Schizosaccharomyces pombe: one gene and its partners. The gene in region 1 interacts genetically with each later gene. Each region holds a gene or a part of one and is shown on either strand. Other genes may lie near its edges.

The links. A genetic interaction does not mean that the proteins touch.
Region 2: mutations in rad1 (region 1) and ura5 together harm fitness more than expected from each alone (negative genetic interaction), as found in Schizosaccharomyces pombe (2 studies listed by BioGRID).
Region 3: of rad1 (region 1) and chk1, a mutation in one rescues a mutant of the other (synthetic rescue), as found in Schizosaccharomyces pombe (2 studies listed by BioGRID, with this or other methods).

The regions. Positions count from the first base shown.
Region 1 is NC_003424.3:4,976,559-4,980,834, reverse strand, and holds rad1 (checkpoint clamp complex protein Rad1), read right to left. Parts: upstream 2,258-4,276; 5' UTR 2,217-2,257; coding exon 2,081-2,216; exon of another isoform or gene 1,955-2,080; coding exon 1,714-1,954; exon of another isoform or gene 1,671-1,713; coding exon 1,076-1,670; 3' UTR 697-1,075; downstream 1-696. Other genes in the region: SPOM_SPAC1952.08C (pyridoxamine 5'-phosphate oxidase), read left to right, coding at 49-273, 349-696; SPOM_SPAC1952.06C (uncharacterized protein), read left to right, coding at 3,395-4,276. UniProt on the Schizosaccharomyces pombe protein: Recombinational reparation of DNA damages induced by UV and gamma radiation.
Region 2 is NC_003423.3:1,229,294-1,232,876, reverse strand, and holds ura5 (orotate phosphoribosyltransferase Ura5), read right to left. Parts: upstream 1,835-3,583; 5' UTR 1,799-1,834; coding exon 1,151-1,798; 3' UTR 519-1,150; downstream 1-518. Other genes in the region: acetylglutamate synthase Arg6, read right to left, coding at 2,084-3,583. UniProt on the Schizosaccharomyces pombe protein: Catalyzes the transfer of a ribosyl phosphate group from 5-phosphoribose 1-diphosphate to orotate, leading to the formation of orotidine monophosphate (OMP).
Region 3 is NC_003421.2:1,057,792-1,064,961, reverse strand, and holds chk1 (protein kinase Chk1), read right to left. Parts: upstream 5,167-7,170; 5' UTR 4,943-5,166; coding exon 4,875-4,942; intron 4,830-4,874; coding exon 4,588-4,829; exon of another isoform or gene 4,542-4,587; coding exon 4,113-4,541; exon of another isoform or gene 4,075-4,112; coding exon 3,867-4,074; exon of another isoform or gene 3,821-3,866; coding exon 3,631-3,820; intron 3,586-3,630; coding exon 3,289-3,585; exon of another isoform or gene 3,244-3,288; coding exon 3,187-3,243; 3' UTR 2,978-3,186; coding exon of another isoform or gene 767-2,977; 3' UTR 519-766; downstream 1-518. Other genes in the region: protein Meu27, read left to right, coding at 767-2,977; ubiquitin-conjugating enzyme E2-C Ubc11, read left to right, coding at 5,225-5,319, 5,368-5,395, 5,446-5,535, 5,705-5,940, 5,991-6,072; gid1 (putative Ran GTPase binding protein), read left to right, coding at 6,773-7,037, 7,082-7,170.

The sequences.
Region 1 (4,276 bases):
TTCTGCAAATTATAATCTTTGTCGCACCACAATAACCTGAAAGTAAATATGGCCTCAAAAGTCGATTCATCTCATGAGTTCCCCAGCCAAATCAAGAGATGCTTGTCCTCATCCAAATATATTCAACTAGCTACTTGCTTTCATGATCAGCCTCACTCTTCTTTGATGACATTTACCTATTTACCTGCAGGAAGCGCTGCCCCTTACGAAGTGGAGGATTGCATTATTTTGTCAACAGGAGAAAACAGTAAAAAATATTTTAACATCAGTTCGGTATGTATCATATTTAAAAGTTTAACTTATCCTTGATCCTGATTGGTATTTTCTTTTTTCTAACATGATGACTAGAATCCTCGAGTATCATTACTAGTTCATGACTGGACCACTAATCGTCAAGAAACAGATCCTGATGCCTCCTCATTGTACACCTTACTTTATAAAATGAATCAGGCTCAGTTCTCGAATACATCAGTGACCTTGAATGGCCTTGCTACCGTTCTTCCAAAGAATAGCAAAGAAGAGGAATTCTTTAGAGAAAAGCATTTAAACACTAATGACAAGGGTAATACGAAACAATACGTGGAGGGTGAGGATATGAGAATTATCAAGATAAAGTTGGAAAGTGCGAGAATTTGTGATCAGAGACTCAACAACGTCCAAAAATGGAATGCAAGAGGAGATGAGACTCCATTTTGAGTAAACAAATGTTTTATGAGTGTCACTTTGCATTTTCTATTTTTTAAAAATCAATAATGTTTGAAGAATTTTTGAATGCTTCGTAGATCTAACCATAATGTATAATCGTGTGTATGATACATGGGAATTTTGTTGGCTACATGCTTTGCTAGACAGCCTAGTGGAAAGCGTCTTGTTTATACGTGTGTTAAATAAGCATAGAAAAAGTGAGGAAACGGTGTGACTTTAAGCTACCTAAATAAGACCAAACAAAAAGCAGGGAAATAAATCATGATTCGTTGAATAAGTGTATTATCATAAGTTGTTCAGTATCAATTGTACCTTTTTCTTTTTTTGAAGTTATCGGAAACACTAAAGTGCTGAGTGCTAAAATTATCATTTAGCTATCCTCATCCTCGGTCTCCGCATCTCCTCGATAATTCGGATCGTTTCGTAAAACGTTATTGTCCGACTGATTAGATTCTGCTGGTTCTTCTTCTTCATCCTCCTCCTCATCTTCACTTACAAGGTCCAAAGGAACAATACAAAAGTCTACAAACGTACAAAGCCCTTCTTGACCGACAAGCATGATTTGAATGCTCAAAGTTCCATTTTCATCAATACGTAGGTTTACTTTAGAACCCACTTGTAATGCTTTCAGCGCATGTCTTATTAATGAGAAGCGGTAGGAATAAGTGTTTTCAGAATCAGTTTCAAAAGACTCTAAAACACTTTTCTCGTTTGGATATTCTATTTCCGTAGTGGATAATGCCCCTACACATCTCAATAAGAAGGTTGATTTTTGGGATGATGTATGAATAATTAAATTTTCGCCCATGTTATTGTCTAATTCCACCAAGGCATCATATAGCCAGTTACTTTTCATAATGATCTTCGTGCACAATGTGCTTGCAAGTCTATTGATGTCAACGTCGTCCTCACATTCCATAGTCAACAGTTCACAAGCCGTAGCATAACCAGCCATTTCCTCTACTCTTTATTTTTGTCAGTACAGAATGTTAATGATAAAATCCTTACTCCCATATAAATGGACAGCCGGGTCCATTATACTGTACTTTGCAGATAACGCCTCGTTTGTGCATTATGTTTACAGTGGGTTGATCCCAGGCACTAGTTGAAATCCGTTCTTTTCCATCTGTATAAATTGATAATGATTGTAAAAGAGGTGAAATCATCGTCTGGAACATATATGTATCCCCATCTGAATCACCCTGAAAATTAAACGTTTGAAACAACGACTTATCAAGAAAGGCGTGAGCTTAATGTGTGAGTGAACAATAAAGAAAAAGTGAATGCATTTCAAGAATCGCATTAATATATGAAACTTTATTAAGTAGCTTCAAATTTTTTAACGATCATAGATGTGAGACTCGACTTGTCTTACCCTGCAAAGACTGCGATTCCTCCACTGCAAACCGTAGTCCACGACTTGTGATTTCGATAGTACATTCCTTTGAAAAATCAATGCATCGTAATGTTGACTGAATCTGCTTTAAGCATACTGTTTCTGCTTGAAACATGCGAATTTACGTCCAACAATAAAAAATTGGTTATATGCTACAACTTGAACACCCGTAAATGCTAATCTTATAAATTGATAATTTTTCCTTCTGATATTAAAGGACTTGACACTTGATTACAAGACCAAACGCAGAATAAGAAAGACAGTTCAAGTTAGAAGTTATTTAGTAAAATTCGAAAAGGTGCACAATTTTAAAAGGTATGCAGATTACTAAAGGAAATGAAAATTGAGATTGCTTTTTCTTTTTTAAAAAAAAAAAAATTGTGAAATATTTTATTCTGATATATAAATTTTTGGAAAGCCGTAAAGCTTAATAGACGAGTATTTTATTTATTAATTGAATAGCATCTACTTCTAACTGTCTTTATTTATTTATCTCTCGACACAGAAATTTTATCAAATTAAATACAAGTTTTAAGAGCCATATTTGAATTTACCAAATGATATTCAAAAAAGCTATAGGATCCCAGTAAGTTGATTGACTCAAAACTAAAGATACAATTAAGGATTTGTAGCTTAATGAATTTGATTGTTTATGAAACAAATGGTTCATTTATTAGACAAATATTGCAAATTGCCGAACTGTTTTAGTGATAATAGCTAAATTTAAATTGCTTTAGAAAATCCATAATTGTAATTTTATCATATATACAGTTAGGATGTCATTTTTACACCCTCTTTTGAAAAGTCATTGCTACAATTAAAAGAAAGGTAATACAAGATGGATCTAATTTCTTCCTTATTTAATCAACCTAAAAAATTTCGAGTTAACTGCATGCACTTTATTTAGCTTCTCTTCTCTTAAATAAACACTTTTTATCCTTCTTCCAATCTCTCCTTTCTTGGATATAAGAGTTGTATAATATTTATAAAACAGAGGGGAATTTACTTGCTGTTATTATTTTTTTCCAAGCTTAGATTCTGGTTTTCACTTTTGATACACTTTGTACATGCCTACATCTTACCTAGCTTTTACTTGAACTGGTAAACGAGAGGAATTTTAGGAACGAGTCAGGCGTTATAATTGAATTGCACGATAGTCTTTTCATAAGGCTTTTATTTTACTTGATGCGGCTATAAAATATAAGTTTGTCAAAATTATTTATTTTGTATCAGACGGTTTTCATATATTCAATTTGAAAAGGAAACTGGCGCATAAAAAATACATTATTCTAAATGGATGTAGATTCAATTTTTAAAAATACCGAGGAAACAAATAAGAAAAGGAACCCTGAGGAAGCAGACTCTTTGGAGCCAGCTAGTAGTCGCAGAAGACTCGCTGAAGAGAATAGCGATGAGGAGAATGAAGAATTTGACGAGGAAGGAGGTAGATTTTTTGGAAGTGGGCTTAAAAAGAGTGAAAAAACCGTTTTAGACTTTTTAGACGAACAGGAAGCCCAGGAAGAACCTGCTTCATTGACTCCTACTGAATTGAAGCGCATGGTAGTACGACTTGAAAAAACAATTAATAATAATCAGGAGTTACGCATCAAGTATTCTACTTCTCCTCAAAGGTTTATAGAATCAGAGGCAGATCTTGATCTGGAAATTCGAAGCTTCAATGTGCTTTCAGAGTATCCTATCCTCATACCCATTTTCCTTAAATTAGATTGTGTTTCCACGTTTTTAGAATTAATGAACCATGAAAATGCGGATATTACTATTACGGTATTGGAGCTATTGATAGAACTGACTGACGAGGATGTTGACCCAGACGCATTAAACTCCTTATTTACTTCCCTTATAGATTCTGGTTTGCTTCCTTTGCTTTCAAATACAATCAAAAGGTTTGACGAATCTAATGAGGAAGACCGACATGGAGTATATTGTGTGCTCTCTCTTATGGAGAATTTATTATCTGTGGACAATAGCATTTGTTCAATAATAGTTGAAAACACAACATTGGTAGAATGGTTACTGAGTAGATCGTCTGTTGATGAAACTTCTATATCAACTAATTTGCAGTACGCTGTTGAAATTTTAGCTATCATTCTCGCTAATTCAAAAGAAGCTAAATTGAAAGTGTGCAACTTGAATGGGATTGATCTTTTGTTGCGC
Region 2 (3,583 bases), on another chromosome or scaffold:
AGAAACCTTTCGAAACTTTCCAGATCACGATTTGTATAATTTAAATCAAAAAGCTGTAGATTTGGGTTTATCGACTACGGAGCCGATTTAGTCCGGATTTTTTCAACAGCGAGATCTCAGAAAAATCGAAAAACACTGCTTCTTACTCACCAAAAAAATCCCTAAAATCACAGTAAAGTGCTTCAGGAAATGCGGATCCTTTTTTTGATAAAAAGGAAATTTGCTTGCTTTTTTAAGATCTCACACAAACAGAACTAAATCTTTCACCCTCTCTTATGGTGAGTTAGTGGTAAACGATAAATACTTGAAGGTTACATATTAGTAACTCAATTATTGTACCATTCGATTCCACTATGTTAAACCAATTGTATTACATAAATGATAAAGAATTTCATTGTTCAACTCGAGTTTTTCTAATAAACCATTTTTATTTATAGACTGCAGTGACTACTTATTCAAATTCACATTGAATATGAGAATAAAAACATTCCAAAATTTCTTAACATTTTCTTGTCATAATAAAAAGTTAATCACCAGGCTTCTGTTTAAAGGTTTTACCATTATTTAATATTTGGTATTTCAAACACAGAGCATAAATACCCGTCGCAGAATTGAAAAATAAAATCCTAAATTTTTTATAATTGCCCATTATATGCGTCTTTCGAACGTAAATAATCATCACTAAAAACCAAATCCTACAAATTTTTACAAAAATAATACACAAATACCATTTTGTGAAACATTAATTATCCCTCAACTCAATATTTTGGTAGCTTCATTCCTAACTGTCATCTTGGAAAGATTCGAATAACACAAAAGAAGAAACAAACACAAAAAAAACAGATTCACGGAACTAATCAAAAGATAGATGGATATGTGCAAAACAAAAGCTTAACAAGTAAACCAATTTCCTTCGTCTATTATAGAGAAATTTTTGAATACCGCTAAATGCAATCGCTTTATAGAAAATTCCTTCTAATATGAGTTGTATCTATCACCACAAATATACAGATAAAAAAATTCTATAACATATGTAAATACCAACTAACTTCACTCTCTTTAAAAAAGCAAAGCTAAAAACCAAAAAAGATACTTATCCAATTATTCTCTTTCCTCCTTCCAAATTTTTAAAAGAAACATTACCATAAGCTCATTTGGCTTGGTACTGCTGTCTGTAAGCATCCATTGCCTTTGATTCAGCTGCAGTTAAGTCTGATTTGGTAAAGTCAACAATGTCGTCCAAAGTAAGGATGGAGGAAACGGGTAAGTTAAGCTCCTTCTTCAATCTACCAATGGTACTTTCGTTTACTTCGGGGTCCAGTCGCTCTTGGCGGTCAAGCAAAAGGACGATACCAGCCAATTTTACGTGCTTAGGTTCTAAGAAGGAAATTGCTTCACGAATGGCAGTTCCAGCGGTAATAACATCATCCAAAAGTAAAACCTTTTTACCTTCCATTTCGGCGCCTACAAGGTTACCTCCTTCACCATGGGACTTGGCCTCTTTGCGGTTATAGGCAAATCCATAGCTCTTTCCAGTTTTTTCATAAAGTTTGACGGCCGTTATAGCAGCCAAAGAGATACCCTTATAAGCAGGACCAAATATGACATCAAAATCAACGTTCATAGCGATAATAGTCTCGGCATAGGCTTCTGCAAGAGCGCATAAATCGGCACCATGAGTGAAATTACCAGAATTGAAGAAGTATGGAGATTTTCTGCCTGATTTTAAGGTGAAAGTTCCAAACTTCAAAACATTATGTTCTAAGGCACGACGCAACAACTCAAGTTTATAAGACATGTTTACTACTAGTTTTGTTGATAAACGTTGATACTCACAAAAGAAAAAAGCTAGTATCACCTTTTCTAAGCTCTACATGGGGGTTATGTGGGGGAATAAACAAAAATCATAACTAAAGAAAAATGCAAGTTTGTAGGCAAACTACTCAATCTATAATCTAATGTGCAAAAGAGAATTAATGTCCTATCAAAATGGACTTTTTTCCTTTTATTAAAAAGTTTGACAAGTGCTTTTGAAGAAGCGAAATAATCTTGTCTCTGATAAAGTGCAATCGTTAACTTCCACTCAATTCAACCATGTTGGCTGAATTTTATCAATAACGCTCATATACTGGTTCACTCGATCCAAATTTCTGACATGTGAGTCTCCAGTCCAGAAAAGTTTCCAAGGTGTTTTGCTTGACTTTAAGGAGCCTACACTTCTTTCAAAGTACCATTTATTGACTGGATTAGTCAGGCGAGAGCGCCATATCAACTCTTTGGGAAATAAATCAGTCATAACATTAAACATAACATCAGATATTGCTGCTGAACCCTGGGCTCCTTGTGAGACGGCAAGCTTATCAAGATAAGGGACCTTTTCATTCGTTGTTCCATCTGGTTGTTCATAAGTTACAATGGCTGTCCCTAAATAGTCCCCTGCAATAATGACTGCAGCTAGCGAATTCTTCAACCTATCTAAATATGCGTCCATATCAAGCGTTCGCTTAAAGGAGTCATTAATTAAAACCCAAAGCCTTTCCCACGAAACGGAGCCATCAGTTAGACATTTCGGACCTAGGAATGTATATACCGGTACACCGCTACGCAAAACAGTTGTTTTCGTAATAGGAGATCGATCGCGCGGCAAGGAACATGAAATAATAGAGCGATCCGTCAAAACATTGTGAATTAACGGATTTTTGTCTAAGACAGGATTTGTAAGCATAGCATCCTCAGGCGTAGTGATTAGAGCAGAGGCATCATCCGGTAACATTTTCAAACAGCGTCTTACCAAAATCAAATTTTTTCTATGATAAGGTGGAAGTGTTTTCGCTAACTCGTCAAACTCTTGAGCCAGATTGATGAGAACATGACTAGAACCAGTTTGTCGTTTAGAACATGGCATGCCACCATTTTTATCAAGAATGACGATTCGGTCTACCCAAAACCCAAAGTTTGGCTTGTGTAACGAGTAAGTTAAACCAGCAAGAACCTCATTACCATCAATTGGAACCTCAATGACGTTGGGCATTAAAATCGAGCTTGGCACTATGACCGTGTAAAGTGAAGACAGCGCTTGAAAAATACCTTGCACATTCTCAACACTAGGGCCTTCAGGGCCCAATTGACATACAGAGGAGTAGCTAGGACGGGTTAACACTCCCGCTTTCGAAAAAATTTCCGAAACTCGAATGACTCTATTTTGCTGTTGCTGTAGCTCCTCAAAGATTGAAAGTTTACGTTTTTTCGCTACGACCGTACCATTCTCCAAATATTTAAAAGGAGATGTCATGCCAATTGGATTGGAAGTGGGAACAATCACTGATTGAATCCCTAAACGTGCCAGGCTATTTATACTTCGACCAATTCCATATAGGGTATTATCACTTAAAGAATCCACATCATCAATTTTGGTAATAGAAATTCTGTTTAAAAACGAACTCGATATTGGCTGAGCGAAGGATTTCTTGTTGGGAGAGCCATCCTTAAGCGAAGAATGTTTTTGCAAAAACCCTTTCGTAGACCTACGAGATTGGACTGATTTCAATATCCAAATAAGGTCTTGTGACAATGAAGGTTTTTG
Region 3 (7,170 bases), on another chromosome or scaffold:
ACACTTTCTATTTTCTGAAATTTTTACTTCAGAAAGATATTTTCGGGGGTATTCATGAATCAATAACTTTTGACAACATAAATACAATATAATTCGATCACTAAAAAATAACTTCTGTTTATTTACAGTTGCTAGTATTCCACTCTTTTTCGTTTGTTTATTTACACATTATTTTCCTTTAACTCAGAATTGCGTTAAATGATTCTTTTCGAATGTATAATTGCAGCAATGTTGATTTGTTTATTATTTTTGTTTACAACATTATACTTGGTTGTCTTTAGTAAATCTTGCCTCCTTATTGGTTACAAGTCAAACATCCATTGTAAATAGTGAGTAATTGGTGTTGTTTATTTAGGCTTAGTTCAAAGGCTTAGCTAAGGATATTATTACTATTCAGTTAATCTAAATCCTTTGTTATTTGAGCTATTTATCCAGGATGCAAATGGTTAGCGAAAGCTTTTATTTTTAAATGATCATCTTTTAGTAATATTAAATGTTTACTTAACACTTTTTTAAGCAAATGTTAGGTGAGCATCAAATTATCATTCGATGTTTGTTTATTGTGAGGGATTTCATAAATTATTAGTTATGATAAAACAATGTGTTAATATAAACGAAATGAATTGTTTTTTAATATAAATAACCCAAGGTTGAACATGTTTTACCCAACCTTTGTATACACTTCAAGAGATTGAACACGATCTCTAATTACTGAGTTATCCAACTGGCAATCACTCAAGCCTCAAAAGAGCCAAGTAACTTCGTAATGAACAGTAAAATTGCTTATCCAGAGATTAAAATATCAGGTGCCTTTCGTCCTGATAAAATACAGGAAAAGGGAAAAAGTAACCGATGTGATACTCACTGCTCTGGTAGCTCTTGGACAAGTTTTAAATCAAAGATCCTAAAAATTTGCGCTCCTCTCTGCTGTATGGGTTCTGATAACGATGAAAGCATGGCAGAAATGCCATTAGAACCCCAAGTTGAGCCAAAATCAATAGAGAACAATTATACTTTAAAAAAAAAAAATGAAGAAGGCTTCTTAAGTCAACAGGAAAATAAGTCTTCAAACCAAAATCCTTCAAAGGCTAATAACCTTTTCGACAAGCTCGGCGTAAGCAAGCCAATAACATTCATAGCTTGTATACTGCAATTGGGCGGCACCTCTTTTATGGAATCAGAACTCCAGACGAAACTTTCAACTATTAATAGCTCGCCGTTTAAAAGTTTATCCCAATACTGGAATGCTGCATACAATAAAAAGGAATCAATATCATCTTCAACGAATAGTAACATCAAATTACATTTGGCAGCTCGTAAATACCAAACAAAACCTGAAAAATTTAACGAAAATTCTTCCATTAGTCAGGTTACATCCGCAATAAAAGCAACAAAGGCATTTTCGCATTTAACTCAACCGAAGAGGGCACTATTGAAAGAAAGCAATACGGGAGATAAAGATATATTTAAGCCTCGGTATCCACAGCTTCTAAGCTGTAGATTTACAACCTTGAGCAAATTGGCGCCAATTAATAATTCCAAATCAGCACCTAAAGGTACCCACAAACCGAACCACTCAGAAAATGCTGAATTAAAAGATATAAAACAGAGCTCTGAGCTTTCTGACTTATCACTATCTTCACAGATTTTATATCCCGAATCCACGACTTTAAGTGAAATATCGCCGATATATGATTCTGAATTAGCAATTGAAAATATACTCGAATCTAAGTGCTTTGAAAATGAACAAGCCATAATAGAAGGAGTAAAAGATTTTACCGAATTTCCCGACCTAGAAGAAACACAGATTATATATTCCGACCTCATCGCTTCCAGTGAAGTATCGCCAATATATGATTCTGAATTGAAATATGAAAGTGTACTCGAATCCAAAAGCTCTAGAAACGAACAGGCTACAATAAAAGAAAAAAAAGATAATGAAAGGGTCCTCGACTTGTCACAGCAATGCACAAAGTTTCTTTTCAGTGACCAAAAGGTTATTACCCCAAGCTTTTGCAAATTTGCCCAAGTATCAGACATGTGCTCTACTGAAATTCCTTGGGTAAACTTCTTTTGTGATAACCTAGATATATGTATCGAAGATGTTCAATTCAAGAGTAAAGCCTTTTTTCCACCTACAGTAACTATTACCATCTTTGAGCACGAAGATAAAAACTTGATGAATGTCTTCGATACTAAAAATGGAACATCAAAAACATTAGTGAAACCTCAAATAACTAATAGCTGCCTTGAAAATATGCTATCACTTGTAAACAAGAACAGCTGTATTAAAAGGCTTCACTTAAAGTTGTCTAAAGGGATAATGGACATCAAGGTATTAACTCATCAGCTAATGCTATATGATCTTTATCCTCCTGCTCACCAAACATATCTATGGAAAGCATTAGAACGACTAGTGAATGAAAAGGTGAGTTTAGGAGAACTAACACCTGTTCACAAAGTAGCAGCCGAAAAGAGAATAGGAGACATCCGGATGCATTTAATTGAATCTTCGGATATATACGTTGTTACTGAAAATCATCGCTGGCTACATATCGTGTGTGAGGGCTTTAACTGTTTCTTAGAGCTTCCCGAAGTACTTCACGGAAAGAAGTTTTTAAAAGTAGATGAGGCTACAAGAGAAGACATGTTAATGTCTGCAGAGACTCCAGACGATATTTTATGGATAACTACATTGATAAGTACTGGTTCATCGATGTCACATTTTCCTTTGCATGCTTACCTGGAAGCCAAAGAGAGACAAGAATTCACAAAAAAGAACCTTTTACTATTTTGTAAAGAAGATGAGTTTTTATACTCCGACCAAGAAAATGAAGACCTTTTAGAATCGTTTGAAAGAGTTATTTCAGAAGAGTTATCCCTTTTAAAATCAAATGAGCCGTCAGATATCTCACTAAAAAAGAGAAAAAGAAGAAAGAATTGTGAGAAAAGAATATTGGGTACAATGATGTATTAAACGGCATGGCCAGTCGGAAGAACTATCCTTATGCTAATAATATATCTTCAGCATTCGCAACCATTGATATTTGCTTGACAAAGCGTTAATAATCCTATTCCCTAGGATATCATTTGTACTACCACAAAATTGAAAATAAATTCACAACGAAGTCAAACAACAGGTTTCTTTTACAAACGAACTGGCACGACCTTTCAAAAGATGTGCAATTAATTTTGTGAAACATCTGTAAGAACAATCGGCTTCCCTATTGAACTGACAACGTTCTTTCACATGGATTAGTATATGAAATCCCTATGATAAAGACATACTTTAAAAAATTTTCTCCATTCAAGAGGATCCCCATTACGCTTTATAAAGTTTATAAGCTCTAAGTTATGGCCTAAATTAGTTAGTTCAATAACACCTTGCAAGAGACATTTCCGTTTATCATGTAAATTAACATAAAGGATGGTCTGATTTCGAACATATTTCATAGTCACTGAGATTGCAAGTAGTCGTAGACTGTCATAAAGATGATCTATAATGGTTTCTCTCGACGCCCTAGAATAAAACCTAGTGAGTCTTTCAGGAGGACAAATTTCGTAGAAATTCTTAGCCTTTTTGGCCTTTTTCATATAGTTAGAAAAAATTTAGGTTTAAATAAATAATACCAATCTTTTAATAAAACCTTCATTCTCACAAAACTGACTCAATGAGGGGTCTTTTTCAAGGATTTCAGTAACGTCAATATTTTTATTAAGTTGTACTGGCTGGGATAAGGCGCCATAAACTTCTACACGATCCAACTCCTTTTGGTCATTTTTTTTAAAAGCTGGCTGTGTCATTGAAAAACCGCTATCGCTAATTGAAAGAGTTAGAAATATGAAACAACTGTGCAAGATCTTACTTTTGAGATGCTCTAGATGAGGCAAGACGTGGTTTATCTAAATCAATACGAAGTTTCAACATGAGCCTTGATGCCAATGCTACAGGATCGGCACAATTCCCATTTTTAGTTCGAAATGGTGTACTTGAGGTAAGCCATGGGTGCTGTACAACATGTTTGACAGAGTAGCGCTTAAATGGATCACTTCGAAGCATTCCGGTGATAATCGCTGATCATTAGTTTAAAGGAATTTCAGTCAGGACTTACAATAGGCTCCTGGAGACAACAAGTTCCATGGGTGGTAAGACGGGCGTTCACATTGTTTTTTATAAAGCAAGTAGTCACCAGTGTTGCTAATTGCTTCATCCCAAGGTGTGTTGCCTAATAACAAAGCAAAAAGAATTATACCGCAGGACCAGACATCAACTTTTGAACCATCATACTGCTGTGTAATTTCTGGAGCAGCGTATGGTGGACTACCCACTGGACTATTCAAAAGCCTACTTTTACCTTTATAGGAAAATAAAGATGCAAAGCCGAAGTCTGAAATCTTTAAGTTACCATTGTAATCTAAAAGGATGTTCTCAGGTTTCAAGTCTCGATGCGCGACACCTTTAGAGTGCATGAAGGAAATACCTTCCATAAGTTGAGCAAAATAAAACTGAGCGACGTCCTCATCAATACCTACATCAGGCTCTAAATTGTAAGTCCGTTAGTAAAAACGAAAGGTTCATGCACCCACCTATTTTGTCAAATAAGTCACCACCTTGAGCAAATTCAAGTACTACCCATCTCCATTGGGGATTTTCTGCTGTATTATAAAAATGAATGATATTTTTATGTCCATTGCATAGTTTGTGAAGTTGTATTTCACTAGCCATCCTTCTAGCCCATACCCCTGCATTCATACAACTAGTAGCATGTTTTTTATTGACAAATTTGACAGCATATATTTTAGCATTATCATCGTAACATAAACGGACGCTTGCTTAAGTTAGTATATAGTATTTTTCAAATCAAAATTCATACGAAGCAAAAGCCCCAGTACCTATTTCTCTACCAATATGGTAAGGAAAGTTATCTAATTTTTGAGCCATTCTTTGGTGTAAAGGGAAAGAAGATTATAATATAACACAAGCATATGTTGCAAATTTTGGCATGTGTATTATTTACAGTCTTAACATCATCAAAGACTGGAAAAGATTAAATTAAGGTAATTTTTAAATGAGTTTTAAATCTATATAATGATATAAAATTGGACTATAATTTGATATCCGGTTTTCGTTTACTTGTGTACATTAGCACATGTTGTGTTGTGTTTATAACTTACTCTCCTACCACCACGTACTCATTGAGAAACTACAGTAACAACTTGAGGAATGGATTCTGATATGCAAAACCAGAACCCTCATACTAATTCTAAAAACTCTTCTTCTGCTGGCATGGCTGTTGACGGTCATAGCGTTACAAAACGGTAAAAAATAAACAGTTTTTAGGAAAAAAGTCTCTAATGCATTTGTAGATTGAGAAGCGAATTAATGAGTTTAATGGTTTGTAATAAGCTTTTTTACTTTGTTATTAACTAGGGTTTTATGACTAGATGTCCAATACTCCTGGAATTAGTGCGTTTCCAGATTCTGATTCTAACCTGCTACATTGGGCTGGCACAATTACCGGCCCAAGCGATACGGTATGACTTTTATTTTGAAAGCTTAATATTTAAAGTATATGAATAATGCTTGGTGTGCTTACTTGTAGCTGCACTTTAATGGAAAATTAATACACATCTTTGTCATTACATTTTCATAACTGTCTACTCTTCTTTCTTCTTTTTCATACGACTAACGTAACGAAAATAGTACTATGAAGGATTGAAATTTAAAATTTCAATGTCATTTCCAGCTAATTACCCATATTCCCCTCCAACTATCATTTTTACTTCACCAATGTGGCACCCCAATGTCGATATGAGTGGAAACATATGTTTAGACATTTTAAAAGATAAATGGTCAGCAGTCTATAACGTACAGACAATTTTGTTATCTCTACAAAGTCTGCTGGGTGAGCCAAACAATGCTTCTCCCTTGAATGCTCAGTATGTTGAAAATATCTCATTTACCTTTTTTGATTATTAACAATTCTTAGAGCTGCAGAATTGTGGAGTAAAGACCCTATCGAGTACAAACGTCTTTTAATGCAGAGATATAAAGAAATCGATGAAATTTAGTTAGGCCGGTCTATTTCATACTCATTTTCATTTCTGTTTAGTCATATGGATTTTCTTTTCCTATTCAATGCTTGAAAAAATGTCTTTAGTTAAACTTTCTTCATTGATAATGGAAGTTGAAATTATTTCATCTCATCGATTAAGCAATTCCTTCATGCAATGCCACAACCTCCTGAAAACCACCGAATGGTTTTTTAAGGACCGTCTATCATTATTTAGTTCCAGAAGTTGAAGTTGTTATTATGATGCTCGATTAAAGCTATTCTTGTTTAATGCATTCCGTTAATGCAGTCGTTTTTTTAGCTTTCCGTTAGATTATAATACTATTTTATTATTATTGATTCTCAATGTCATTGTGTTATGTATTATCGCAAGACAAGTATCAATGTTATGTTGTGCCTGAATTTTTTTCTGATTAGTAATAGGACTGTATATACAGCCTAATATTTGTATTTCTAATTTTGAGCCTTTAATCCTTATGAAGCCGTATAGTGAAGTATCTTTTCAGTCTCAGAGCATTTTATAGAGTTGCTGAAATTTACACGTCATTTAAAAATTTAAGAGTTTTACCAATTATTATTACAAAAGATTTGTATTTAATTACAAAAGAAAAACTGATTAGAAAATTGAACATTTAAACTGATAGCTGAATAAGCTACTAAAACTGGCTGTTTATATGCTACCAAGAGCATACCTGCGAATGACTAGTACACCAAAGAATCTTGAAAAACAGCCGATTAACTTCGACAATCTCCCCTTGTATTTACAAGGAACCAATTACGGAGAAAATGTGCTTAGAAGTGACCCACGATGGCTGAAATGGGAGAAGTATTTACGAGAGTTTGACATGACAAGGGAGGGCAATGTAACAAATACGCCGAAAGCCATTCCATCTTCATGGAATCCCAACGATAAGTCAGATTCATTAGAATTGATGAATAACAACATGGGGGTTTATTTCTTTGGTTCGTTGTATTAATTATAATGGTTTATAACTAATCTTTAATAGGTCCTGAAGCCGGCACTGAACATGATGCGGCGTCTGTAAAAGCTGATCATGCAATTCCATCAAACACTTCTATCTACTATTATGAAATT